Neurospora crassa OR74A: one gene and its partners. The protein of the gene in region 1 interacts with the protein of each later gene in a pairwise test. Links are inferred from orthologs where the notes say so. Each region holds a gene or a part of one and is shown on either strand. Other genes may lie near its edges. The genes, in order: chs-4, NCU08067 and NCU03637.

Region 1 (8,317 bases):
TGACGATAGGGGTGCAGTTTGGCTAGGCTGCTAGGGTACTCTAGCTACTCTAGCTTGCTTCACAGGGTTGGTGAGACTGGCGGGATTTTTTTACATACAGAACATGGAAGAGCGGCGGGGTTAGTGTTCACCAACCCGGGCTTCGTAGCACCCCGCGCCTTCCCCGTGGCCTTGGGACATCGTCCCGTTTGTCCGTTCTCCCGAGCTTGTGGATAGGCATCTCTATCATGAAATTTTCCCATGCAATGATGCAACACGCTTTACAGGTAACCCCACGGCAGACCGTACAGGACAACACAAAAGAAAAATTCATGAATTGTCAAATGCCGGCCGCTAACAACATCGGGTAGAAATGTGGTCCAGCAGAGACGGTGAGAGAATCCCTATCTCGGATATAACATGATGCGGCTTGTGTGGACAATGAGAGGACTTGTCTTTTGTTGCATCGTTTGCTCAGAGTCAGCGCAACTTCGTATCGATGGATAGTGTCGAGGTCAGCGTGACCACCATCACTTTGACGCCCATTTCGCGCAATACGAAGCTGACGGCTTGCCCTTTTGGGGAACTGAGAAAGGGCATGACCCAATCACAATTTTTTGATCCTACACAACCCCCTTGCTTTCAAAATATTCGCCGTCGACGTTTCGACAGTTGAAACGCACGCTCAACACAAAGCCGATGAACAACAGGGAGATAAACCTTGTATGGTTAGTTCTTCTTCGAAAGTTACACCAATATTCAATACAAAAAGACTTCTTTCGACGTGCGAGTCGCACGTATCCGGGTAGACCATCAAGAGACGAAGAGCCTACTCTGGCCACCTGCAATTGGGTTGCACGACGCGGTGTAAGGAGTGTGGGATGGATGGCTTTAGTTAGCGATCACACTGACTGAAGAAGATCGCTACTACTTCAATATCAACCCCGTGGGGACGGACCTATGTGAGGTTTTTCCCTTCTCGCACGGTAGTGGATATTGGAATCTGTGAATTGCTACTAAGAAGTTGGTCCGTCTTATCCATCCAAGAACAACCACAAAATTTCAAACAACACACAAGCATGCCGAGCAAGAGAAGAACTCGTCTCAAGATTCTGACCGCTACATATGGACGAGACATCTAGTATGTAGTGTAAAAGGGGATGGGGAATAAGCGAGAATATCTCGCGCGCTCCATGCAATATATGTACTGGGTCTCCGTAAACTTCTCCCTGGTGGTTTGCCCAGACAAGGCGGGGGAAAAACGTGGGTACCACGGCTCGAGACTGGGGTCATGGAGGTTCATGGAGTTCATCTGAATTCCAGGGTCCATGAGTGACAAACTGCACTACTGTACTTACTTTCACACTAGTTTACGGTGGGGACGTAAAGCGAGATTGACGCTCCCAGACGGCCTCATTCGATGGAAAATCACCGAAAATGAGGTAGCCCCGCCTTGACCGACTGCTACCGGGCTTGATATTGTTAATTAGTGATCTAAGAACGAGGAGGGGCTTCATCGGATACGAGAGACCTCATGCCGTCCATTCTCTTGTTTAGTTGTTCAATATCCTCCAAAAGCGTAATCATAAGAGGGGGGGTGTCTCACGTGAATGACACACAGCACTCACCAGTGCCCATTTAGTGTACAATACAGGGAAGAATCAGTGCGGTGGATCCGGGGTGTGCCCCGCGTTATCCCGACGTCAATGACGGTGAATGTCATGCATGCCCGGCTCGGCGTGTTGATGCACATCTTTTATGCACATAATACTATATTTATATAGAAATTCCCCATTGCACTATGGGAGACCGCGTCCGGAAAGACACAAATCAGGTTGTACACAGTAATTTTGAAACCGAAGAACTCAACTGGACTTCTCAAGGCGCCACGGTTTGCGCGCGAGTTGTGGGCGGGATCACACGCTGTGCTCATCTTTTCTCCAGCCGCAGCTGAGGCTCGCTCCAGTCCAGTCGAGCACTCCATCGCCGGAAGGCTACCGGAGCTTTACACACTTCTTGACTGAATTGTGAGATGCTTTAGTGGGCGTGACCGGCGCCCGCATTTGAGCGCGGTACAGCCACTTGATATACCGCAACTCGGTTTCAGTGTTGCCCCAAGGCTCCGGGCTAGTTCGGGGTAGTTTGCGATGGCAGCCATTAAGAAATGAGATGAACGATGCGTCCCGTGGCGAAGCCGGAGACATTGATTGATCAAGAAAGAAGACTGAGTGCGAAGTATGCATACAGTGGGGAGTTTCGTGAGGTTCCAGAAGCGCACCGTGTCATGCGGCTGGGATTCCACTGGAGAGCGGAGCGCAGATCGCCCAGAGCCACTGCCCCTGCACTTCGTTGTGGTAGATCATCAGACGAAACAATGAGAGGCAACCTGAACATCAACTGTCTGTGAGTTCATTGCCAGCTACCTACGTCTATGTAAACAAGCCGGAAGTTTCCCTCCAATTTCTTCCATGTCACCTCGGACATCATGCCGACCACACTTCATCAACCCGTCTCACATGTTGCAACTTTGCCGTGCCGTTCGTACCAAACCCGTTCCTGGGTGAACATCGTCCAATCTTTGCGCTTTGGTCTAGAATTGTGACTAGGCCACTTGGAGTTCCCACTGCCATCCTAGAATAGTTCAGAGCTACATCCCAACAGGCACAGAGGCGGTGTTGCGCATTTTAGTAATTCGAGTTCCCCACCGGCTTTATGAGCTCTTCACCTTTCTCTCTGCCGGATTTTGTCCATTCTGTAGCTCGTCGTGAGGTCATGCTTTGCTTGTACTAGAAGTGACGGTTGATGCCTCTGGTGTCGACCTCATCCACGCCGTCTCTGTGCTCTGCACATTAACATCATAACCACCGAGCTACTGCATGGACTAAGCAAGTACGGTACCCGTAAGATCGGTGCTTGGTTGCATCGACCCTGCCTTCCCGCCGCCATCCCAAGTATTCCCTGGCACTTGTACCTGGGAGAAGACGCCCGGCAGCTTGTCAGAGCAGGGACCATTACGATGGAACGGTCCGCTCTGCAGAACGTCGAACTTTTCAGAATTTCGCAGGGCAACCATCGCGAGCTGGGCGCTGTGGGGTTTTAGCCACGCGCTGGCGCGGTAGGTGTTTGAGGGAGAACACGACCTGTGAGAGTGGAATCGAGGAATCTGGATTGGAAAAAGGGACAAGAAAATCGAGCGGGTTGGGCGAAGTTGGTTGCCATAGTGCGCAGCTGATTGCCAAGTGGAATTCCTTCCTGGTCGTCGGGTTTCTCTTAGAGGCTCCTTGGCTCCGTCATGCCCTGGAACGAAACAGTCCATCAAGTTAACAGGACGGGCGTTTGTCATTGGTCCAACTGTTAAGAGCGCCTGCGCCCCCCTTCTACCTTCCCCTTCTGCCCTTCCCGTCTCCTGAACAACACCGTTCGACTCTGCTTTTAGGCCTGCCTGGGCGGCCCACTGCAGTATTCCCAACCTCCCTCGTCGGTTCCGCATTGCAAGCAATTGGAACTGGGACGAGCCGCGTTCACAAAATTTGTAAGTTGGGTTCTCCATAGTAATCTACCTCTTTCCAGTCTGCTGGTATTCGGTATAGCTTGAACTGTGCAAAACGACCGACAGTCATCAGTTCCCTTGTCTTGGCCGAGGCTCATCTCGTCATTTCCTGGGCCGACTGACTGCTCCTTGCAAGTTGCGACGCGGCCAGTGACGTTGGCTCCAGTCTTCCACGACAAACCTTCTTCACCAAACATACCAGCGACTCTTCAGCCTTGCATCGATCCCGGACTCACTAACCGTCCCGCTCCATACAGCATCATGTCTCTTCCTCGGAGGCCGGGGCCGTCGCCTCCGCACGAGGAGCCACGCCGCTACCGGCAAAGCGGTTCGCGCCGCAGTCGACCACCACCCGCCGATGTTGAGACCGGATATGCTCCCATGGCAGGAGAAAGACCAAGCCAGCAGCAACGCGTACCATCGATATCTTCATTTCCGGAAACCCTCCCGTCCCCCAACCCCAATGTCGAACGAGACCCTTTGGCGCCCACCCCCGAGCCCGCACATCCATCCGGCATACCTCAGCGGAAGAGGAGTTTGATTCGACCGGAGCGCAACAGGATTGGCAAAGACCACCCCAACTATCACTACAGAAAACATGCGGCCAACATGAACACCCTACCGTCCTCAACCGGACACGACCCGATATACGAGGATCTGGAGGGAGCAACGGACGATGTATCGGGAACTGGCTCGAGGAACGACGACGATGTTTCCGAGGAGTCGCCCCCAAGAAGAAAGCACTCGACGAAAATGCAGGTCATCGAAACTGAAAAGTCCGGTGATGAAAGACGACGTCGGCGGAAATCGGATACCACAAAACATGGTAAAATTGTCAAGGCCTCCAAGGGAAAGCGCGAAAAGTCCGGAGGACTCCCTACCCCGAGCTTTTGGAACATTTACTGCGGATTCGTCACCTTCTGGTGCCCTGGCTTTGTCCTCAAGTGCTTCGGCATGCCCGAGATGGCTCAACAGAGGGCGTGGAGAGAGAAGATGGGTCTGATCAGCATTATTCTGCTCATCATGGGCTTTGTTGGCTTCATCACTTTCGGCTTCACCCAGGTGGTCTGCGGTAAACCTCCGCTCCGTTTGCGCATCAATGAGGTCGGGTCAGGATACATGATCTTCCACGGATCTGCATATGACCTCACCAAATCTCACCATCCTCCGGCCGAGGGTATCCCGCGCCGTCCGGACGGTTTGGGTGCAAACGTGATCTATGACTTGCCTCAGCATTACGGTGGACAGGACGGCAGTTTCTTGTTCCAGAACGTCAACGGCAAGTGCAAGGGTCTCATCACCAAGCAAGAGAACTCCGATGTGCCAAGCGATAAGAGCGGCAATCTGGCGTGGTACTTCCCTTGTAACACGTTCAACCAAGATGGTTCATCCAAGCCCAATACCACGATACCTTATTACCTGGGCTATGCCTGTCACACGACCGCTAACGCCAGGGACTCTTTCTATCTCGGCCTCAAGAGCTCCGCCGATGTCTACTTTACGTGGGATGACATCAAGAACAGCTCTCGAAACCTTGTTGTGTACTCTGGCCATGTTCTCGACCTTGATCTGCTTCACTGGTTCAACGACACTCAAGTCACGTATCCCGCCCGCTTCAAGGAGCTGAGGGATAAGAATACTGCTGGAAACCAGGCTATTCGTGGACGCGATATTACCCATGCTTTCCAGTCGAGCAAAGACAAGCAGATTGCCGAATGCTTTGAGGAGATCATCAAGGTCGGTTCGGTGGATACCGAGACAGTTGGCTGCATTGCGTCAAAGGTCGTTCTCTATGTGTCCCTCGTCCTTATCCTCGCGGTCGTCCTCGCCAGATTCGTCTTGGCTCTAATCTTCCAATGGTTCATCAGCAAGACGTATGCGGCTGCTAAGACCTCCCAAACGTCTGACCAGCGAAAGCGAAACCGTCAGATTGAAGACTGGACTGAAGACATTTACAGAGCTCCCCCAAGGCTACCAGGGGAGGTCGGTAGCAGTGTCGCTGGAAGCTCCGATCGTCAAAGCAAGCGCAGCAGTGCTTTCTTGCCCACACACTCTCGTTTCTCCACCGTCTACGGCAATGAGCGCGGCAATAGGAAGCCTGGACTTCCTACAACCATGGCCAGCCAGAATGCCGCTGGTCAACTACTCCATCCTGGAACCATATACGGCCAAGGAAATGAGAGTCGGTCAAGCTTCCTCAAATCTGATGCTTACGGATCAAGCAGCAGTCCAGCAGACGGCCCAGGTCCTGCCGGATTTATTCATGAAGCTGTCGTTCCTCAGCCGCCTTCCGACTGGATGCCGTTTGGTTTCCCCCTCGCTCACACCATCTGCCTTGTCACAGCCTACTCCGAGGGTGAGATGGGCGTTCGTACCACTCTGGACTCGATTGCAATGACGGACTACCCCAACAGCCACAAGGTTATCCTCGTTATTTGCGATGGTATTATCAAGGGCCACGGAGAGGAACACTCAACCCCCGATATCATTCTCGGCATGATGAAAGACCACACGATTCACCCCGATGACGTTGAGCCATTCTCTTATGTTGCGGTTGCAACTGGTTCTAAGCGCCACAACATGGCCAAGGTCTACACCGGCTTCTACGATTATGGCACTAACTCTGCCATTCCTCTGGAGAAGCAGCAGCGTGTTCCTATGATGATGGTTGTGAAGTGCGGCACTCCTGCTGAAGCCTCCAAGTCGAAGCCTGGAAACCGTGGCAAGCGTGACAGTCAGATCATCCTTATGTCTTTTCTCCAGAAGGTTATGTTCGACGAGCGTATGACGGAGCTAGAATACGAGATGTTCAATGGCTTGTGGAAGATCACGGGCATTTCTCCTGACTTCTATGAGATCGTGCTCATGGTTGACGCTGATACCAAGGTCTTCCCCGACAGTCTCACGCATATGATCTCGGCCATGGTCAAGGATCCTGAAATTATGGGTCTTTGTGGCGAGACCAAGATCGCCAACAAGCGAGCAAGCTGGGTTTCCGCCATCCAGGTATTCGAGTATTTCGTCTCTCATCATCTTGCCAAGGCTTTCGAGTCCGTCTTTGGCGGTGTCACCTGTCTTCCCGGATGTTTCTGCATGTACCGCATCAAGGCACCCAAGGGTGCCCAGAACTACTGGGTCCCTATCTTGGCCAACCCGGACGTTGTCGAACACTACTCCGAGAACGTTGTCGATACGCTGCACAAGAAGAACCTCTTGCTCCTTGGTGAGGATCGTTATCTCAGTACGCTCATGTTGCGCACGTTCCCCAAGCGTAAACAAGTATTTGTGCCTCAGGCCGTTTGCAAGACGACTGTCCCCGATGAATTCATGGTGTTGCTTTCGCAGCGCCGCAGATGGATCAACTCGACCATTCACAATCTGATGGAGCTCGTTCTTGTGCGCGATCTTTGCGGTACCTTCTGTTTCAGTATGCAGTTCATTGTCGGTATCGAGCTGATTGGTACCCTTGTGTTGCCTGCCGCCATTGCCTTTACTTTCTATGTTGGTGAGTAGCCACCAACCCCAGTTTTCTCTTCCTTTCTTGTTTGACCAACTGAAAACTAATGTCCGATACCTAGTCATCATCTCAATCATCAACTCCCCGCCACAAATCATTCCTCTTGTTCTCCTTGGTCTCATCCTCGGTCTCCCAGCCATCCTCGTCGTCGTCACAGCTCACAGCTGGTCCTACATCATCTGGATGTTTATCTACTTGCTCTCCCTGCCCGTGTGGAACTTTGTTCTGCCTACCTACGCTTTCTGGAAGTTTGACGATTTCTCATGGGGCGACACGCGCAAGACGGCCGGCGAGAAATCAAGCAAGGGTGGCCACGGAGAAGCCGAGGGAGAGTTTGATAGCAGCATGATTACCATGAAGCGCTGGGCCGAGTTTGAGCGCGACAGGCGCGTCCGCAGCACGTACTGGGCCGGCTCGAGGGACAATGTCATATCCGGGGTAGGGGGTAGTAATGGGTGGGGAAGCAGCCAGCCGAGAGGCCATGAGCAGGGGAGACACTTTGATGACTACTTTTCGGACGCTTAGGTTTTGATATGGTGTTGCTGTGTAGGGATGCCTTTGTTTTTTTTAAAGTATTACTGTTGTAGGGTAGGTAGGGTCTTTGTTCGGAGGTCAGGTGTTTGTTGGAAAAGAAGGGATCCGATTATCGAACCTGCCGGCCTCGGTTTCTTTTCATCACGTTCATCATGGACAAGGGCGATATTAATGTGGAAGTTTTGGTTGATCGGTTGGCGGGTGGGTTTTCTGTCGATAGGATTAACTCTTAGACATTATTATGTGGAAAAGATTTATTTTTCTTGGCATACATTCGTGATGGGATACCACTTCTTCCGTTCATCTATCCAGTCACAAGAACCGCTCATGAACTTCGCCATACTGCATCAGTAAGGAAGTAAGCACGAGCACATGAGAGCGCCACAATAGGCTGACTACCATGTATGTTTTCCCATATTGAATGTAGCTATCCGAAGGCAGACAGGGGGCAGCTATGTCTACTATCTAGACAGTATCTCTGTTCTGGTAAATTTGAATCGATGTTTGGGAGCACAGAGCAGTTTAGGCCAGGCGAACAATGGGCTAATCTTCCCTCCGACCCTCCTTTTAATAACGCTTTAGAAGTGGTTGCTTGTAAAAGAGGGGGTCACATCATGAAGTGAGGGAGGGTGTAGTGTAGACAGTTTTTGTCAGATATCTAGAACAGAGTATTGGAATGACCTGATCGACCGACTGACTGACTGACGACGCCATTTCTTGCGTAACCTCCGGCGAGA
Region 2 (8,519 bases), about 4.1 Mb from region 1:
CCAACCTCATCCTCAACTCCCTCTCCTTCTGGGCCACCTCCATCTCCAACCGTTCGACACTATACTTGAGTGCCTCCTTGCGCTGCCTGACCACTTTGGCTCTCAGCGCAGCCTCCCCATTGAGCTTCTTCCCCCCACTTCCACTTCCGGCCTCCTTAGTACCACCACCCTTCTTCTGTATGCCGCCTCCTGCACCACCACTTTTCTGTTCTCGATTGTAATTCGACAGTCTCCCGCCATTGAGCTCACACCTGGCCTTGAGCGTCTCCACCCTCCTACCTTTTCGCTCCAGCTCTTTGTCCACCCTCTCCAGCAGCAGCTCGATGAACGGGCCGATTTCGTCGCGTAATGAAGCTTCGGCAGCTTGTAAAGTCGGTTGGGGGATCAGTTCGTAGTGCCGAACAGTTTTGAGGACAGAGGAGAGTCGGGGGAAGTCGGAGGTGGACGAGTCGAGGAGGGAGAGGGAAGAGGAGAGGAGGTTGAGAGAGGAATGGAGAGGCGGGAGGAGGGTGGAGAAGGAGGGGGGTGGTGGGTTGTAATTGTAGTTGTAGTTCATCTTGGTGATCGGGGTGGACAATTCTGGTCCGACGGTTTTTGAATAAATCTCTAGTCGTGACTAAAGAGGCTCGCGACTTGGAGATAGGGAGTCTGCGCCGGCTGTTTGGTGGCTTGGGGATTGTGGGCTGGTGCTCTCTCGCGGTTTGTTTACTTTCGGCGCGGTGGTCGTTTGTCTATGGAAATGGATCGCGATTTGGTCTAGCCCAGTTGGATATGGCGACAGTCCTTGTCTGTGTTCGAATGGAGATATGCGGATAGTCGTTGCCCCGTGTTGATCTGGGGAAGCGAAGAGGCAAAGATGAAGACGGTCGGAGGGGGAAAGTGGAAAGCCGAAGAAAAAAAAGACGATCCGTCGCGTTTCTTGTCTTCGCGCGTCATAGGTACCTACCTAACATGCCGCCTAGACTTAGTGTGTATGTACCTACTGGGGGAGCCTTCCCGATCCCGCTGTGGGGGACACTGCAGCCCCCTGAACGGTGGACCCTTTTGGTGGGACAACCCGTGCACTAACCTAACGGCTGCCCTGTGGGGCTGTTAGTGCCGTGCCTTGCATCACCCCGCCTTCAGATTCCATGTCTTCAACCCCATCTTCCGTTGTCCTGATCTTCAGCTTCCGCCCTCCCAGATCCATCTCCCCCCAAGCAGTGCCGTACTACCTACCACCGTTTTCCTCTACTTCGACCCTTCAAAACGTCCTCAACTATTCGATCACAGACAAGAACACGAGCTGGGCAAAGCAAGGTCAACTAAACGAGCACGACGAGAAACGTAGGTAGCGAACAGAGTCGTCGTCGAGAGAGCTGAAGAGCCACGCTTCCGGCTTCGGATGATTCAGACCTGGCTATAGGCGAATCTTGAGATACATAGGTAAGAACCCAGGCCGAGAAAGAATGGACACCTCATCGATGTCGAATAGTCAAGTTTCTTGTGGTGGAAATTGTAAACATATGGATAGTAAGAGCAATATGACGAGAAGGAGCACAAGCGGCCTACGGAGGAAGATTGGCACGATGGGTACCATCAGAACCAGAGCGGTGACGGCGTAGAATAATACCTACAATGAAACTGGGTGCGGAGATGGATGAAGCTACGTAAGTTACCAACAGAGAGCAACGCAATGAACTGGGGAAATACCTCTAGAGTAGAGATGTCAGTTCCTTGGACGGGCATGTTTGCAACCAATCTGCTATTGCTTTAGCGGACTACTACAATTGTAACAAACTACCTATGTAGTGTACATTCATAGCTGTCTTTGTCACTAGGTGGCTGGCTGTTTCCATGTTGGACCATAACAATGTAAGCAATATCCCTGTCCGAGATGTGATGGACATGGGTAGTGGTGATGAGCGACCTGGAGCGAGGTTAGGTAAGATCCTCGCATCTCCACACCTTCGCTCCTGGCTAATTTCGATAATCTCGGATTTTCCTCCATCATGAAGATTGGAAATTGGCGATTGAGACCCGCAAATTGGGAGGCAGCCAACAAGCTCAATTAATCATCGGACTCGGTACATTATCGATATCATGATCAAGCGGACTGTGTCTTCATTCTCTACAGGTAGGTAGTTCCAACATCCCCAACTCCGGCCGCTGGATGTTCAATTGCTGCTTGTGGGTACATCTCCTTTTGGGTTCACAGCCTCCATCCGTCCGTCCATCTTCTCTCCGTTCCTCGCCATGCATGAAATTCGTAAAAACAGCACCCATTTCCATCTTCCCCCGCTTTTTTGTCCTGTTCCCTCTTCCATTGCCATTCTCCAGTAGCGGCCTATCCTCTGCCGTAGCTGCCGAACGCAAAATAGAAGACATGTAAAGTTGATACAAGAACTAGTGTAACACGAGAAAGGAAAGACATTGAGAAAAAGGGTAAGAGAAGATAGAAAAATGACATTGCAAGAAAAAAGGGAAAAAAAACTCCATTTCCACCCAAACCTTGCCCCGTCCGCATCCAACATCCGGTTTCGCCTTCGTTTCCAAACGAGCCACGGTTTTTGGTGTGTCGCATTACGAGTCCCGTGGGTGGTCGAGAAGAAAGTGTAACGTTAATGTGGGTATAAAACGCCGACTCAAAAGAAAGATAGATAAAAGAAAAAAAACCACTTCATGATTTTGTTTTGTACTGGCGGTTCACACGCCAAATCCTCTCTTTTCAAAAAGACGAAGAAAAACCTCAACTCCATCCCCGACCCATTCAAGCCCGCTCATAGCAAAATCAAGTAATTGCTCGGCGCAATACCCGTTTCTCCATTCTCCTTCCGTGCCTGCCACCACCGCCCGCTCACGTCGCTAATCTCCAGCACCTCATGCTTGGAGAAACTAATCTCGTTGGCATCGTCCGGGTTGGCCTCATAGCTGAATATCGCCTTGGCCCTGTACGGGTACTCCGTCGGCGGAACGATCTCCCCTTCTCCTTGCGGCTTGGGGATGTTGTTGGACGAGAAACCCTGGGGAATCTGCGACTGGCGAGCGGGGTTTTCGAGCCCGTTGAGCTGACCCGTGTACATTTGCGGAGGCTGGAGGCCCGAGGCCGAGGTTTCAGGGCGCATGTTGTAGGAGCCGTAAGCATTGGGAGAGGAGAGACCGTTGTGGTTCATGGTTTGGCGGCTCATGTGATGCGCAGGGAGGGTGGATTCCTTGGTCAGCGCAAAGGAGTCGATGTAGGCACGGGGAACAGCCGATGGGGCGGAGCCAAAGTAGAATATCCAGATGATCTGGCGGGACGTTAGCAAATGGGGTCAGCCAGCTGGGGGAAGTTAGCGGGGAACCGCATACCGTCACCATGGACAACAAGATATACCCAGCCGCTGTCGCCTCCATGGACGCAACGCCACTGTAAATCAGGTTGTTGATCGACGACGTGGAGCCGACCAGCCCGACGGCCAGGTAGCCAACGATGGCGACATGGTAGGTCTGAGCGCTGTCCGAGGCGATGACGATGAAAATGCCGAGAATGAGGAAGAAGTTGAAGACGAGGGTGAACCAGCTGTAGGTTGGCCAAACAATGACGGGAGCCCCATTCGATCCGTCATTTTGGTCCCTAAAGCCAAAGATGGATCCAAACAGGATGATGATCCATGACAGCTGTGGTGATTGTCAGTTCGTGAAGGCGACAGGACGGGAAAAGGGTGGACGCCAGCGCGCGCGCGTATGGAAACTCACAGTAGCAATAGAAGTAGTGGCCAGAGCAAATGGGTCACCAATAATGTTGCCCATGTCTATGCCTTTTCGGCGGTACGAGTTCCTGCCGTGTTCCATTTTGGGGTTGTTGAAGGACGGGGGATAGTTAACCGATCCTCCGTACGATTGCATCAAGGGCGAAGGTCGCCAAGGAAGAGCGTCCTCTCGGGATATTCGAGGTCCGTGTTATAAGTGATGGACCGACGTGTGTGGGACACTTTAGTTGACGCACACCTTCACTTGGGGTATAAGATGACGGCGAGGGGCCGTGTGTGTGTCGTATTCCGGGGACCAGTCCGCGGTTGGTAATGCGATGTGTTTGTTCTGCAATGACAGATGCAATGTCACGAAAAAAAAAAGAGAGGAAGTTCGACGGCGACAAGTGGTCGAAGTCGAAGCAAGAAATTCGGGTCGGGTAGCAATTGTCGTTTGCTGCAAGACGTTGAGCGAGGAATTCGGTGTCCAGCAACGCGGTATGGCTCGTCTCGGTCGTTGCAAATATGGGTAGGTAGTAATTGGGCGATGTATGGAAATGAGTCGAAGGTAGGACAGTTGCAATGTTATTGAAAGATTGGGTGGTCGCTGTCGGGCTGCTCCGTCGGGTGTTTGTTGGTTGGCAATCCGCAAAGAGGAGGCTGAGTCCAAGGGAAGTGGCCGTCGGGTACTCCAAGGACACTCAAGACGAGGACAGAGCCTTTGAATCTTCAGGGGAAATAAGCAACGAGTCGGTCGCACGGGTCGGGAGATGTGACGGTACGGTAGTTGTCCGTTGGAACGAATGGCGGCGGCGGTACGGTATGGGTAGATACGGTAAACACGCAAGATCAATCGGTAGTTGGAAGAAGGGCGGTAGAAGAGTCCACTGGAAGTCTGGAAATGGTCCTGGATTCCTTTTTCCTGTTTTCTTTCTTCTTTTGTTTCCCTTTTTCTTTGTTTGTCCGGTGTATGACGGTAGTCGGGTGTGATATCTCGGTACCTGCCAACGTCGTATTGTACTATCCCCCCGTCTTGTTCCGGTTCGCGTTAATAAAGGGCTCAGCTCAGCTCAGGGTCGGACAATCGTATGCTGTCGTCGTCGTCGTCGTCGTCGTCGTCGTCGAGGTTGATGAGGTTGAGGGAACGAAGGGAGCGATTGATGGATTGAGCAAATTGTTGTTGGACGTGGCTGGGGCGATGATCAACGCCGGCCAATGGAGAAGTGAAAGGGAAGAAAAATTGAAGGAGGGAACGAACAGAAATGAGGGGATCGCACGGGCAGGACGGACGGACGGGGACGTGAAAAGGGAAATGGTGTGTGTGTGGGTGTGGGTGACGACGGCTGGGTGGTGGTGGGAGATCCGGAATGGAAGGCCAACGACGGGGCCTGGCTGAGGGACTCCGGGGCGGGCAGCAACCGGGGGGGGATGAGGTGGCTGCTGCTGTGGAAACGAGTGGACGAGACCGCGCAAGAGAAGTGAGGAAGGGACCAACAATGGAGCCCACTGAATCCACTGAAGATGGGGGGGAGCCATGTCCGCTGTGGAGGCTCTGGACTCCTGGAGTGCGTTGCCTGGCGGCTGCTCGCTGCACAATGAATGAATCCTTCCCTTGCAGTGACATAGGTACAATGTCCGGGCAACACGCGGCAACACTGCGAACGAGCCAATCGCATTATTGCATTTGCTGGGCTAATGAATGCAATGTCCAGTCAGAAGAGGCACGGTCCTCAATCTCACTGCAAATCGTTAGGCCAAGACATTCCAGGCGCTGCTTACCTACTGTACCTCTAGCGGCTGTGTGGGGACGGGAGCATGGAGCAAATTAGAGGTACACAGACACAGGGCGGGCTACTGTAGCAGCTCGATTTCTTTTTCTGCACTTTTTGACAGTCTTTGTAGCTGATGGTGGTGATTGATGGGGAGTCATACCTACCTAGAGGTAGACTCTGCTTGGGTGATTAACCTGTTCAAAGTGAATGATGGCTCTAGGGTACTGGGTCATGGCCAGGACATCTTTATTTTTATTCTTGTTTTCTTCTTCCATCTTGATATATCTTACCTCGACACTGTTCAAACTCATAGTCAAAAAGTCTCAAACATTCACAACATTGTAACACTCGGAAGTCAGTCAGGCAGCTAGCCATGTGGCTTGCGTCTGTGCTCCATTCACTCATTGCTAGGTCGTCCAGAAACATCGTGACCGACTGTAAATGATAGGCTGAGAGCTGGCTACCATGCGACATCACTCAGCTGAGCTCGGTGACGGGCAGAAAATGTCAACAGAGAGACGGATTCACCATGCCACGAATCCACACCCATGCAGCATGCAGGCAGGGGCTTTAGGCTCGCCGCGTGAGTTCTAGGGCAACGCCGTTCGTTTCGGAATCCCATCTGCAGGAGCCAAACAATCACTGCCGGCTATCAAGCGTGTTTGTGACGTTTGTAAAAAGCCTCTCCCGTGAATTCTCATTCCAGATAGAGCGCTACCACAGCACCGTCGATCTGGTTTTTGTCGGTGCTAACGGCGAGCAGAGTGTTGATATCGGCTGAACATTCCAGTGGGCCAAAGATGACGCCCGACTCCCGCGCATCTGTCGCGTGATATCTGCCGCGCAATGACATCTGCCCCATTCCCTTGGTCACTAGCATTGTTCTCGTACGAATGTGCCAACCACTGTTGATCTGCTCTTCACACTTCGTAAAGTGCACGCGCGCTACCAACGGCGTGTCGTATTCCATACGCACAACCCCAGTGATTTGTTCGCGGTCGCCTAACCTGTTGATCAATCGTGACGCCGTTCTCTAGCGGCGGTAAAATGGCTTCCGTGTGAGTTTTGTTTCCCGCAAGCCAAAATCCATGCTCCTCCGCTTCACTAGCCATGTATCGCATAATCTTGTCTCGAACCTCCTCTTTGCCTTCTCACTCTATAGCGGCGTCCATCTCCCTCACCCTCTCCGCTCTCCTTACCCTCAATTCGCACTTTTCCACCCTCGCTTCACCCTCCGCCACAAACTTGCCGTACCCCAGCACCCTCTTCTCATACCATGCCTTCATCACGGCTTCGCTCCTCTCCCTGAGCTCCGCTATTTCCGCCTCTTGCGCCAACTGCATGGCCTCCAGTCCCTTCATCCGGGGTATCAAGCTCGCCAACTCGGCCGAGAGTTTGCTGTCGGGAATCGCGGATTCAATGGTGTTGGCTGGGGCGGCTGCAACTAGGGCGGACGCGGTCTGGGGAAACTGGGAGGCGTAGGAAAGGACTGTCGCGAGAATGGCAGCAGGCGGGAGGTCCGTTGGTGGGAGCTTTTGATCGGCCGAGGGGGAGGTGTGGAAGAGTGTGGGGTTGGCTTTGTCTGGTTTGGGGCCTCTGGTTAGCTTTGAAGTGATGCGAAATGGAAAGGTGGGAGACAGAGAGGGACGTACGAATTTTAAGCAGCTCGGCGTACACGCGAAAGCGCCGAATGAGCAGATTGAAGCGGTGTTCAAGCTGGGCAAGAGAGGTCGTTGCGGAGGAAGAGGGCGCTTGCGTTGGAGGGTCGGAGGGGCCGTAGAGGATGTGCTCGATCCGCCGGAGACGGGATTCGAGGAGGGAGATGGTGGCTAGAGACGTTTTGTCGAGGCTTGAGGTTTCCTGGGAGACGTCCATGGTGTTGGTGGGCGAGTTCTGTTGGTAATTGGGGTTATGCGATGCGGTATCGGTGGTATCGGTTATACCCGCCTCGAGGGGATGTCGCAAAGATGAATTAAGATGGTAAACAGAAGCTGAGCTCAAGCAGTGGCAATTGTCCAGAGGAAAAAGAACCTTGACGGCGCGTGTCTAGACCGATGACGGGTCGTGTAAGGCTGTAAGGTAACATACCGTTCAATTCAACCCCGCCTCCGCATCCCGGACACCGCCCGTTGGACAGCGACTGGTGCCCGGACAACACAAGGCCCTGCTCCTGGACAGTGGAACACTGAACAAGCTACCTACCACTGTAAACTCTCATAAGGCTGGAGCTTGGCTTTTTTGATCTTGTTATTTCAATGACCCCCGATAGTTCACCGCTGATCCACCTGGAAGGCTTCTCTTCCCCTGAACGATCTTGTTTCACTCGTAAATTACACTCGTTGGATGTTAGTGCTGCGGTGTGGAGTTAGTGACGGAGTAAGGTACCGAACCCGTAGGTACCTACTATGTACAAATGTGAAACAAAAGGCCCGTGTGACTGAGCAATGACAGTGAGCTTGGCGTTCGCGGTACCTTTTCTGTAGAGGTAGCTGACACCTTCCCTGGAACCCCCATCGAATCCCCAGAACAAGGAAGACCCGTCATTCCCGTCTGTGCTGGCGCTGTTCTCCATTGCCCACGTTGCGTGGATGTCCTTGTCAGCTCGCTAAAGTTGGCTTTTCTACTTTTCTTAACAAATAAAGTCTCGTCATCATCATCGATCCCTTTTTTTTCTTCCCGTATGAGTTATCGAACACGCGACCATATCATCCATCCAACATCGGATCGAATCGCCCCCGAATAGGCACTCTGCTGCTGCTTTGCAGACTTACACTCGCTTTCCCCGATGCTGTGACTTGATGACAGTCGACGACAACTGACGGCGCCGACTGCCCACCATCACTCGGTACTTATCTTCATTGAAGCCTCGACTCGAGCACCTCATCGACCCCGGCGATTACGATCCGGTTGCGATACGTCGAATCCCCCTTCCTTCCGTCTTTTCGTTCCTGAAGGCTTTGGGCGTATCAGCACCGACTACGAAACCCATCACTTATCCAAACCAACATAACATCCCGCGACACCACGAGACGGTCCC
Region 3 (8,021 bases), on another chromosome or scaffold:
AAGGCCGGCTACACCGCCGACCTCTACACCTTCGGCTCGCCCCGCGTCGGCAACGAGGCCTTCGCCGCCTTCACCACCGAACAGTCAGGCGACGAGTACCGCGTCACCCACGAAAATGACCCCGTGCCCCGTCTCCCTCCCATCAGTTTCAACTACCGCCACACCTCCCCCGAGTGGTGGATCCAGGCCGCTGTGCCCACCACCAGCCAGGTCAAGATTTGCCCCGGCTATGCCAGCATCGACTGCAACGCCGCTACCCTCGGCTTCAAACGCGATGACCACCTTCACTACTTTGAGGACATTGCCGGTTGCTCGCCTGGCGGCTTCAACTGGAAGAGGGCTGAATCCAACGTCGCATCTAGCGACGTCAGTGACGAGGAGCTCGAGTCTCGCTTGAACCAGTGGGTTGTCGAGGATGTAAATTTTGTCAATAGCAACGACCTTCATTAGGAGCATCAAGGGTTGCAATGTGGGAATCACAATAAAAAAAGTGAAATAAGGCATGATTTGTGAATACAAGTTTGGAAGACAGCTTTGTGAATAGTAGCAATGAGACGCCAGTGAAATCACCTTCATGGATGCCTTGCCATGATTGGACGTGACCTGTGTTGGCCGTTTGTTCTTAGCTGCTGAGTGCCACTTGGTAGCAAAAAGTGATCCTAGGACTGTCAAGAAGGGCCGAACTCAAAGCGAAACAACAAGCGACGTCGTATCGCAGAAACAGAGCGAACAATCATGACACAACGTAGTCCAGTTCTTCAGCTTCAAAAGTGATCACGCCAGGTGTGGAAGAAAAGAAAAAAAGTCTTACATCTTGAAAATTTGTACAAAACAAGCTGGTAAAAGTGGTGAGTATAACAGGTCGTATTTATCATAGTGTACAAGTTTCTCGTAGCGGTACGTTCGGGTTGATCTGGTTATCGACTGCTTGCGGCACAAAATCCCGGCCATTTCGCAACCCTCCAAGGTCCTCCGTGCTGTTGGCAGTTTTTCATGACCGGTTCCAGTTGTACCAGTAGAGAGGGCCACAGAATACCTGCCTCCCCAGGTCGCCATGATTATCAGGGTCGAGTGAGTGGTCGTTGAAAAGGTAGCTGCGAGATGCTTTTCGGCATGCGATTTCGTCTCGGATCGTAAACAATAGGAGACCAAGCGCAATCCCTTGACCGTCTCTGGAGCTTCATGAACTCCTGATCTGAACAGAAACCAGCGTGCCAGACCAGGGGTACCGCAGCCGTCGTCGACATAGTTGCTCCTCGAACCCTCCATTGTGTCTCCTTACTTCCGCCTTCTCCTTTTTTTTTCCATTTCCACTCATTCACATCCCGCAGGCCTCAGTCAAGCATCTAGCCACTTAAGCACTCAACCTCAACCTCCCCTTTGCCAGCCTCCTCTTCAGCGTCTTCTGCCCATTCTTGGTCTTGACTCTGCTCAAAAAACCGTGTCTGCGCTTCTGCACCAGCCTCGTCGCCCCGCTCATCGTCGGGCGCGGGCCGCAGCGGATCTGGGAGCCCAACCCGCTAAGCGCCGGATGACTTGAAATAAGGGAGGATGCGGAGAGGAGGTCGAGAACTTCGCCGTCGATACCGGTAGTAGCACTAGGGGAGGCCGAGGGCGCGGTGATGGCGTTGGGGGCGCGGAAGATGGTACTGGGGGTGGAAGACAAGGTGGCGGGACGGAGGGAGGGGAGGATGGAGAATGAGCTGTATTCAGGGAAGTGGTCAGTTACTATGTTTGTGTTTTGGCATGCGGGTGGGGAGGGAAGGCAAGAGCAGAACAGCGTACCGAGTGGCAGTCTTGGGAAGAAAAGCGCTCGGCTTGAAAACAGCCTGGAGGGCCGACGAGAAAATCCTGGACATTTTGTCTACAAATGTGGTTGTCGCCGATGATGGTAGTGGTGGTAGTCGACGTCAAAGGATTGCGGGGGTGGAACAGGACCGGGCGAGACCGAATGCGCCGGGACGAACACAAAGCGTTTCGGGGATCCTATAGAGTGGTTCGCGACGAGCGGGCGCGGTTGCTGGATCGGCTCCGTCCAAAGTTCGATTGATCGGCCGGGGTCCGGGGAGAGCTTTTTGCACCCGGTTGCCAGCTGCTACTGTGGGAAGCAAGGGTTAGGGTTAAGTATTTCATCTGTGTTACCTCGACAATATGGTCTGCATTCGGTAATGAACCGCATAACAAGTTCCAGGTTCAAGGTTGATGAACTCCGTCCTGTTCAGTTCAGTAATGGAAGCCAGATTCTTTCTAGATTGTCTATCAAAAATTGAAGATTTAAAAGCAATATAGAGTAGGGTACTCTTCGCTGAGTGTGCTGATTTCCTTTGATTTGTGATCCCGCGCATGTCAGCCTTATTTATCAATTCCTCATCCACCTTCTCATTTGCATCATCCTTCACTGGCTTAGAGCTCATCCCGCCCAGTGGCAGTAGCAACATCAATCTTCTCTTCACCATCCTTGGCCTTCTCCTTGCCCTCAACCTTTCCAGTGGACTGCCAGTTGAGAGCCTTCAGTCTCTCGGTCAAAATGGGGTGCGAGAAGTGGTAAGTGGCGAACATCCAATCAGCATCCATAGTGCTGAGGTTCTGGATCTGGAGCTTGATCAAGGAGCGAGCGAGCTCCGCATTGTAGCCAAGCTTGTTGGCGAACTCATCAGCCTGGAACTCGAACTTGCGGCTGAGAACATTCATGCCCAGCTTGATGAGGGTGTCGGTAGGGCCAAGGACGTCCGAGAAGAGAAGGAATCCAACGATGATAGGGTGCACCGTGTGGAAGCCAAAGTCGGCATAAAGGGAGTTGTTGTTGATGAAAACGGAGAAGAGAGAGAAAATGGCGAAGAAGTGGGCCTATGCATTGTCAATCACAATTCGTGGTAAACAGCGGGATAACAAAGCAGCATCAGCTTACCTGGGAGATGCCAAAGAGACTAGTGGTGTGACCCAACTTCCAGTGACCCAGCTCGTGTGCAAGAACGGCAACAACTTCCTGGGTCTCGCTCTTTTCAATTAGGGTATCATAAATGACAATGTGCTTCTTCCAGGGCATGCCGAAGAAATAAGCGTTGCTGTGGGCACTGCGCTTGCTGCCATCAATGACGTGCAACTCGGAGAGGGGGAACTTGAGCTTCTTGGCGAGATCCTCCACGCTGCTCTTGAGCTCACCCTCCTCAAGAGGAGAGAGCTTGTTAAACAGAGGCAGAATGAAAATCGGGTAGATGGTGATCATGACAACCTGGAGACCAGCGACGAAAACCCAGAGATAGTAGAAGAACTGGTTTCCAGTCTTTTGCACGATAGCTAAAAAGCCGGCGAGGATCGGAGGCGTGAGAACGAAGGTCAAGAAGAGGGACTTGATCTTGTCGGTAATCCAAAGCTTGGCAGACGACTTGTTGAAACCGAACTTCTCCTCCAAGACAAAAGTGTGGTAGAGGCTAGTCGGTAGCGAGAGAATCTGGGAGATGACGACAAAGGACAGGACGAAGACGATAGATTGCGAGATTTCGCCGGAGAACCTGGCTGGCGCGAACCGAACGAGGAGGTTGCCGGCGAATGACCATAGCTTCGGGAGGACGTCGAACTGATAGAACAAGATGTTTTGGATTTGACCGTAGATACCGCTGAAGAACTCGAACTTTGCCTTGGCGCGTCCGTATGCCTGTATCGTGTGTCAGAGAATGGTGGCCGGTTGGCCCGTAGCCTAGGGGATATCGTACCTGACTCTTGTCAAAGACCTCCTGGGACACCTCATGCTCCAACACCTTGGGGACCTTGGTCTTCTTGAGGACCTGATACTGACGATAACCGAGGAAACCTTCGATGAAGTAGTTGGCGAGGGAGAAGCCGATGATCAGCTTCTTCCAGGGAAAGAGAGGCCGGTCGAGGAACCTCGCGAGACGCTGTCGTTTTGAGAGTGCCATGTTAGCCGGTGCACGCCTTGGATGTCAGAGGAGAAGGATTTCGCAAAACGTACCTGAAGGAACTCCATCGTCGCGCAATAAGGGCGTGTCTACTAGAGGCTCCGCCGAATGCGCAAATGGAATGTTTGTTTGTTGGAACAATGAAAGCCAAAAGACCGTGTCAGATTGTCCGCCGCATTGGTTATAAGCACAATGCCAGGCAAGGTACAAACAGTAACAACAACCTGTCCTTGCCCCAGTTTCGCTTGGAGCTTCCTTGCAGGCATGTACCGCTACGTACCCTGCTGTGTATGGCGCAGTCGCCAACACTAGAAGTTACACATGCTGATTGGGTCGGGCTACTTCTCCTTGCGCTCGCCCCGCTCGGTAAATCTTATCGATAAGCCCGGTCGTAGAGGTTCCCCCGCCGCGAACCCGGACGCAACGCTGGATTGTTCGCATGTTGCCGGGTCACCCTACAGATCTCCGAACATAACAGTGTTTCCTGTTGTCATCAAGGCGCATTTCCCGATGTCTATAGTATGTAGTCATATCGTGTGGCTTCCGGTTTATGATCTTGTATTTAGCGGTTAGGATCACGAGTATGCAAGTACGATGGGAGAACAGGATTCAACAGCCATGTGTCCTCTAGCCAGCTGACGACACCATCGCCGGGCAGCATGCTATGAAGATAGTAATGTCCTCAAGAACATGGAACAGAGATAAATGCAGGCTAGGTATTCTTCAAGGGGTATAAACATATCATAGGGCTCCTCCGATTTCTCCAGCACGACCAGTTCACTGTCTTGGGATTCTCAAGTTCGCTTGGATCCTTTCCAGTAACTGCTCCCGGGTGTCCGAATCTTGTGGATGAAGATTACGCTGGTGATCATCAAAGTTAGCTCACAACATTAGCTTCGAGTTCTGCGTCAGCTTCTAACAAACTTGAAAACTCACCAGTGCAAGCCATCTGCGCATCTCCTCGCGAGTCCATTCTTCAGGATTGCCCTTTGGGTCAGCCTGGTCTTGAGGAAACACTTCGCCTCCAAAGATAGACCATGCGGCGACACCCGTCACGATGCCGGCGAATGCTATGTGGGGTTAGTCAAGCTTCGGTCGACTGCCCGACTGTTAAAAAAGAAGCTCACCAAGAAATGCGTTCTTGCTCGCGGAAACTATCAGAAGAGATTCGACAAGCATGATTGCTTCGGGATGTTGTGTTGTTGTGAAGAGGTACTCACTCGTGATCTCAACGCTTTATCTAGTGCCGTGGGCATATCGAGTAGTTCGGAAAAGGGTTGTCTTCGTTATAAGTGGTGGTAAGGCAAGAGGGGTAGACGCACTACTACAAAACGTTAACGCCCTAACTGAGTTGTCTGATGAGGTGGCACTTGGTTTGGAACAAAAGAAGCTCTACAATTAGGACCGCGTGATTAGTTTTTGATTATATACTATCTGGATTACACAAACTGGAATCGTGTCCTCCCGAGGCCTCGACCAGATGCGACCGAGCTTGAAGGCGAACTGCCGCGCAATCCCGTCAGATGTTCCAGATGGTCTAATGGTGACTGCCTGCGACTGAGGTAAGTCGACGCCACACGAGCTCCCTGTGTCACTGCATCTCCCAAAGTCGACGCAGTTACCAAAAGTGCAGCATCAGCCACACTTGGAGCTTGCGCTAACGTCGGCAGGTGTGATCTGGCGGAAGTGACAGCGGAAACAAGGGTGCATCGCGTTAGCGGCCCATTGCCCGCACGCATCCCCACCAAGCCACTCGCACCGCCCAGGCCCCAAACCCACACAAAATTATTTCCATAGTACCTAAAATTCATCCACGCTCCTGAACTCCGTTGTCGTCGTCACCACAAGTACGGGAAGTCCAGCACCAAGTCGCCAAAATGCCTCAGGAAATCGGAGATATCAAGAAGGTACGGAAATGCCCGTCGTCATGCTGAATTTGTGCATGCATGGTGCAAATGGGCTGTTTTGCTGACTTTGATTTCAACTACAGTTCATCGAGATCTGCCGGCGCAAGGACGCTTCCGGTACGTTTGGCTGAGGGCCTGCCTGAGAAAACACCGTAGCGAAAACCGAACGAAATTCTAACAGAGACGCTTTGATCCAACAGCCGCCCGGATTAAGAAGAACAAGGCTACTCAGCAGATCAAGTTCAAGGTCCGCTGCCAGAAGTACCTCTACACCCTTGTTCTCAAGGACTCCGACAAGGCTGAGAAGCTCAAGGCTTCCCTCCCTCCTTGTACGCGCTCCCCGACCCCCGAATAATAGCTCGAGAGAGAGATGGACAAACCGGAAAAAAAGCAGTTGCGAGAAAAGGATGGAACTGACATGCGAAACTACAGCCCTGACCATCGCCGACGTTGCCAAGCGCAACAAGAAGCAGACTGCTTAAATCTCTCGACAATGAGGAACTGATGGCTGCTTTGGCGCGAACGGGAAGCGAGTGAATGACGATTTTCAACTGCCTGGTTCTGGTGCTGGACATTTAATTCTCGCGAACTAAGACGGCGTTCTCGGATCGGGGGAAACCTTCATGGGATTGGGAACAGGAGTACTTGCGAGAGCAGGTGCAGGTCTTCGGAGCAGCGTGATGACTCTTTAGTTGTCAAGGTCTCACCGACCGCAAACCAACCCCTTGCAGAGGGTCTGAATACACATTCATGAGCGACCAATTCTTGGACCCCAGACTTGCGCATTTTCCCAACCAAGTGTCAAAGTGACAAAGAGGGCACTACAGGAACCGTCTGTAGTGCTGTGTTTCCACCGACGAAGCGATACCAGCAAGCTGACTGTACAGGAAAGATTGAGACGACGCAACGAACTCTTGCGTATGACTTTCGACACAGGACCACCCGGAAACCAATACGAACTCCTCACCTCCCGTCTCGCGATCGACACTGCGCCCGCTTCTGACCAAGTGAGGATGCACGACCTTTTCCATACTCGCCTCCACCTTCTGCAGCGTTGCGGCAAAGCTCTCCTTCTTTTCAGTGTCGACCAAGAATCTCTCGACACTGATGACCGGGCTATCGAGGAGTGCAATCACGTCTTTGGCGGTAGTGGCCTGGTTATTCCCAAAGATGTTCGTATCCAAGTGGAAAAGAATCAGTCCGCCTGGCTGGTTGGGCGGCCCTTGATTTGCGATGATCTTGGTCAAGTCTGAGCCCTCCATTTGCTGCTTGTTATCGTCGCTGAGGATCCATGCCCAATGCTCCTCCACCGAGCCCCAACTCGTTGTTAGAAGTATCTGCGTCTCGTCGTCGATCCCCCGGAAACAAGCCACGGCCCGTGCCGAGGCGGAAGAGGGGCGGTCGGGAAAGGCGCGAGCGTACCATGCATCTTGGGCAGTGATGGCCCTGCTGAAGGTATCTCGGAGGGTAGAGTCGGTGATCCCGGTGTGTACTTGGATGATGGCAATTTCAGTGACAGTCATCGTCGAAATATGTTCTGCGTTAGTGATAAAGCCAGGTTGTGAGCTTGGCGGTCTGAACGCTTCAAAATGCAGCAAAACTTGAATCCGTACACAGCTTTTATGTGTGATGGTTGTAGTTCATTCGGACTCGCTCATTCGGGACGATACGAAACGCAAGCTAGGCTACCTCCAAATTCGTAATCATGCGGCACAGTTGGGACACCATACACAGTAGACAATATGCGCCTGCTTTATAAATCATGCCATCCGCGTCCCCACTTCCCAAAGAACAGAATCATTATGATGCCCTGTCGTTCAACCAACATCAATAGAGGCTCTGCCGGCCGTCATCTGAGGCTAGATGTATGTAAGAAGAAACACTGGTATGGATGCGATAATGAGTTCTTGCGACTCTTCTGGACAGTCTTAATCAAATCCCTGCTGATGTCGTATACATGACGAGAAATGGGCCCACGATCTTTGATAGAGTCGGGCATCGCCAGTGTTCGGGTTTCGGTGCATGATGCCAACTCATGTATGCACTTCGACAAACATGTCGAACCCACCCACTAATGAGGCTGTCATCAAGGCCCCAGAGATATGTAGCCAGGAATGAGCTAACAAACCCACGAGACAAGGGGAAGTTCAGGTGACCATCCGACGTAGTGTATGTCAATTGGAATTCAAAGCTTTGG

Evidence for each region.
Region 2: the proteins of chs-4 (region 1) and NCU08067 interact in a two-hybrid assay, tested with the Saccharomyces cerevisiae proteins (2 studies listed by BioGRID, with this or other methods). The link is inferred for Neurospora crassa OR74A from reciprocal best matches to the Saccharomyces cerevisiae genes CHS3 and SHO1.
Region 3: the proteins of chs-4 (region 1) and NCU03637 interact in a two-hybrid assay, tested with the Saccharomyces cerevisiae proteins (2 studies listed by BioGRID, with this or other methods). The link is inferred for Neurospora crassa OR74A from reciprocal best matches to the Saccharomyces cerevisiae genes CHS3 and STE24.

What each region holds. Positions count from the first base shown.
Region 1 is NC_026501.1:4,236,589-4,244,905, reverse strand, and holds chs-4 (chitin synthase 4), read left to right. Parts: upstream 1-3,182; 5' UTR 3,183-3,790; coding exon 3,791-7,034; intron 7,035-7,107; coding exon 7,108-7,571; 3' UTR 7,572-7,849; downstream 7,850-8,317. Other genes in the region: NCU16382 (hypothetical protein), read left to right, coding at 1-34; NCU09323 (hypothetical protein), read left to right, coding at 1,059-1,120, 1,349-1,421, 1,764-2,003. UniProt on the Saccharomyces cerevisiae protein: Polymerizes chitin, a structural polymer of the cell wall and septum, by transferring the sugar moiety of UDP-GlcNAc to the non-reducing end of the growing chitin polymer.
Region 2 is NC_026501.1:154,627-163,145, reverse strand, and holds NCU08067 (osmosensor protein), read right to left. Parts: upstream 5,110-8,519; 5' UTR 3,868-5,109; coding exon 3,718-3,867; intron 3,640-3,717; coding exon 3,331-3,639; intron 3,270-3,330; coding exon 2,760-3,269; 3' UTR 2,030-2,759; downstream 1-2,029. Other genes in the region: NCU08068 (mitotic spindle biogenesis protein Spc19), read right to left, coding at 1-556; ro-10 (RO10), read right to left, coding at 6,634-7,064, 7,135-7,357. UniProt on the Saccharomyces cerevisiae protein: Plasma membrane osmosensor that activates the high osmolarity glycerol (HOG) MAPK signaling pathway in response to high osmolarity.
Region 3 is NC_026505.1:1,908,350-1,916,370, reverse strand, and holds NCU03637 (CaaX prenyl protease Ste24), read right to left. Parts: upstream 4,174-8,021; 5' UTR 3,986-4,173; coding exon 3,971-3,985; intron 3,897-3,970; coding exon 3,714-3,896; intron 3,656-3,713; coding exon 2,909-3,655; intron 2,848-2,908; coding exon 2,404-2,847; 3' UTR 2,149-2,403; downstream 1-2,148. Other genes in the region: NCU03639 (lipase), read left to right, coding at 1-450; NCU03638 (hypothetical protein), read right to left, coding at 1,355-1,703, 1,786-1,859; NCU03636 (hypothetical protein), read right to left, coding at 4,695-4,778, 4,854-4,987, 5,045-5,096; NCU03635 (60S ribosomal protein L38), read left to right, coding at 5,795-5,824, 5,908-5,941, 6,025-6,153, 6,257-6,306; NCU03634 (hypothetical protein), read right to left, coding at 6,646-7,347. UniProt on the Saccharomyces cerevisiae protein: Proteolytically removes the C-terminal three residues of farnesylated A-factor mating pheromone. Also acts to cleave the N-terminal extension of the pheromone. Does not act on Ras.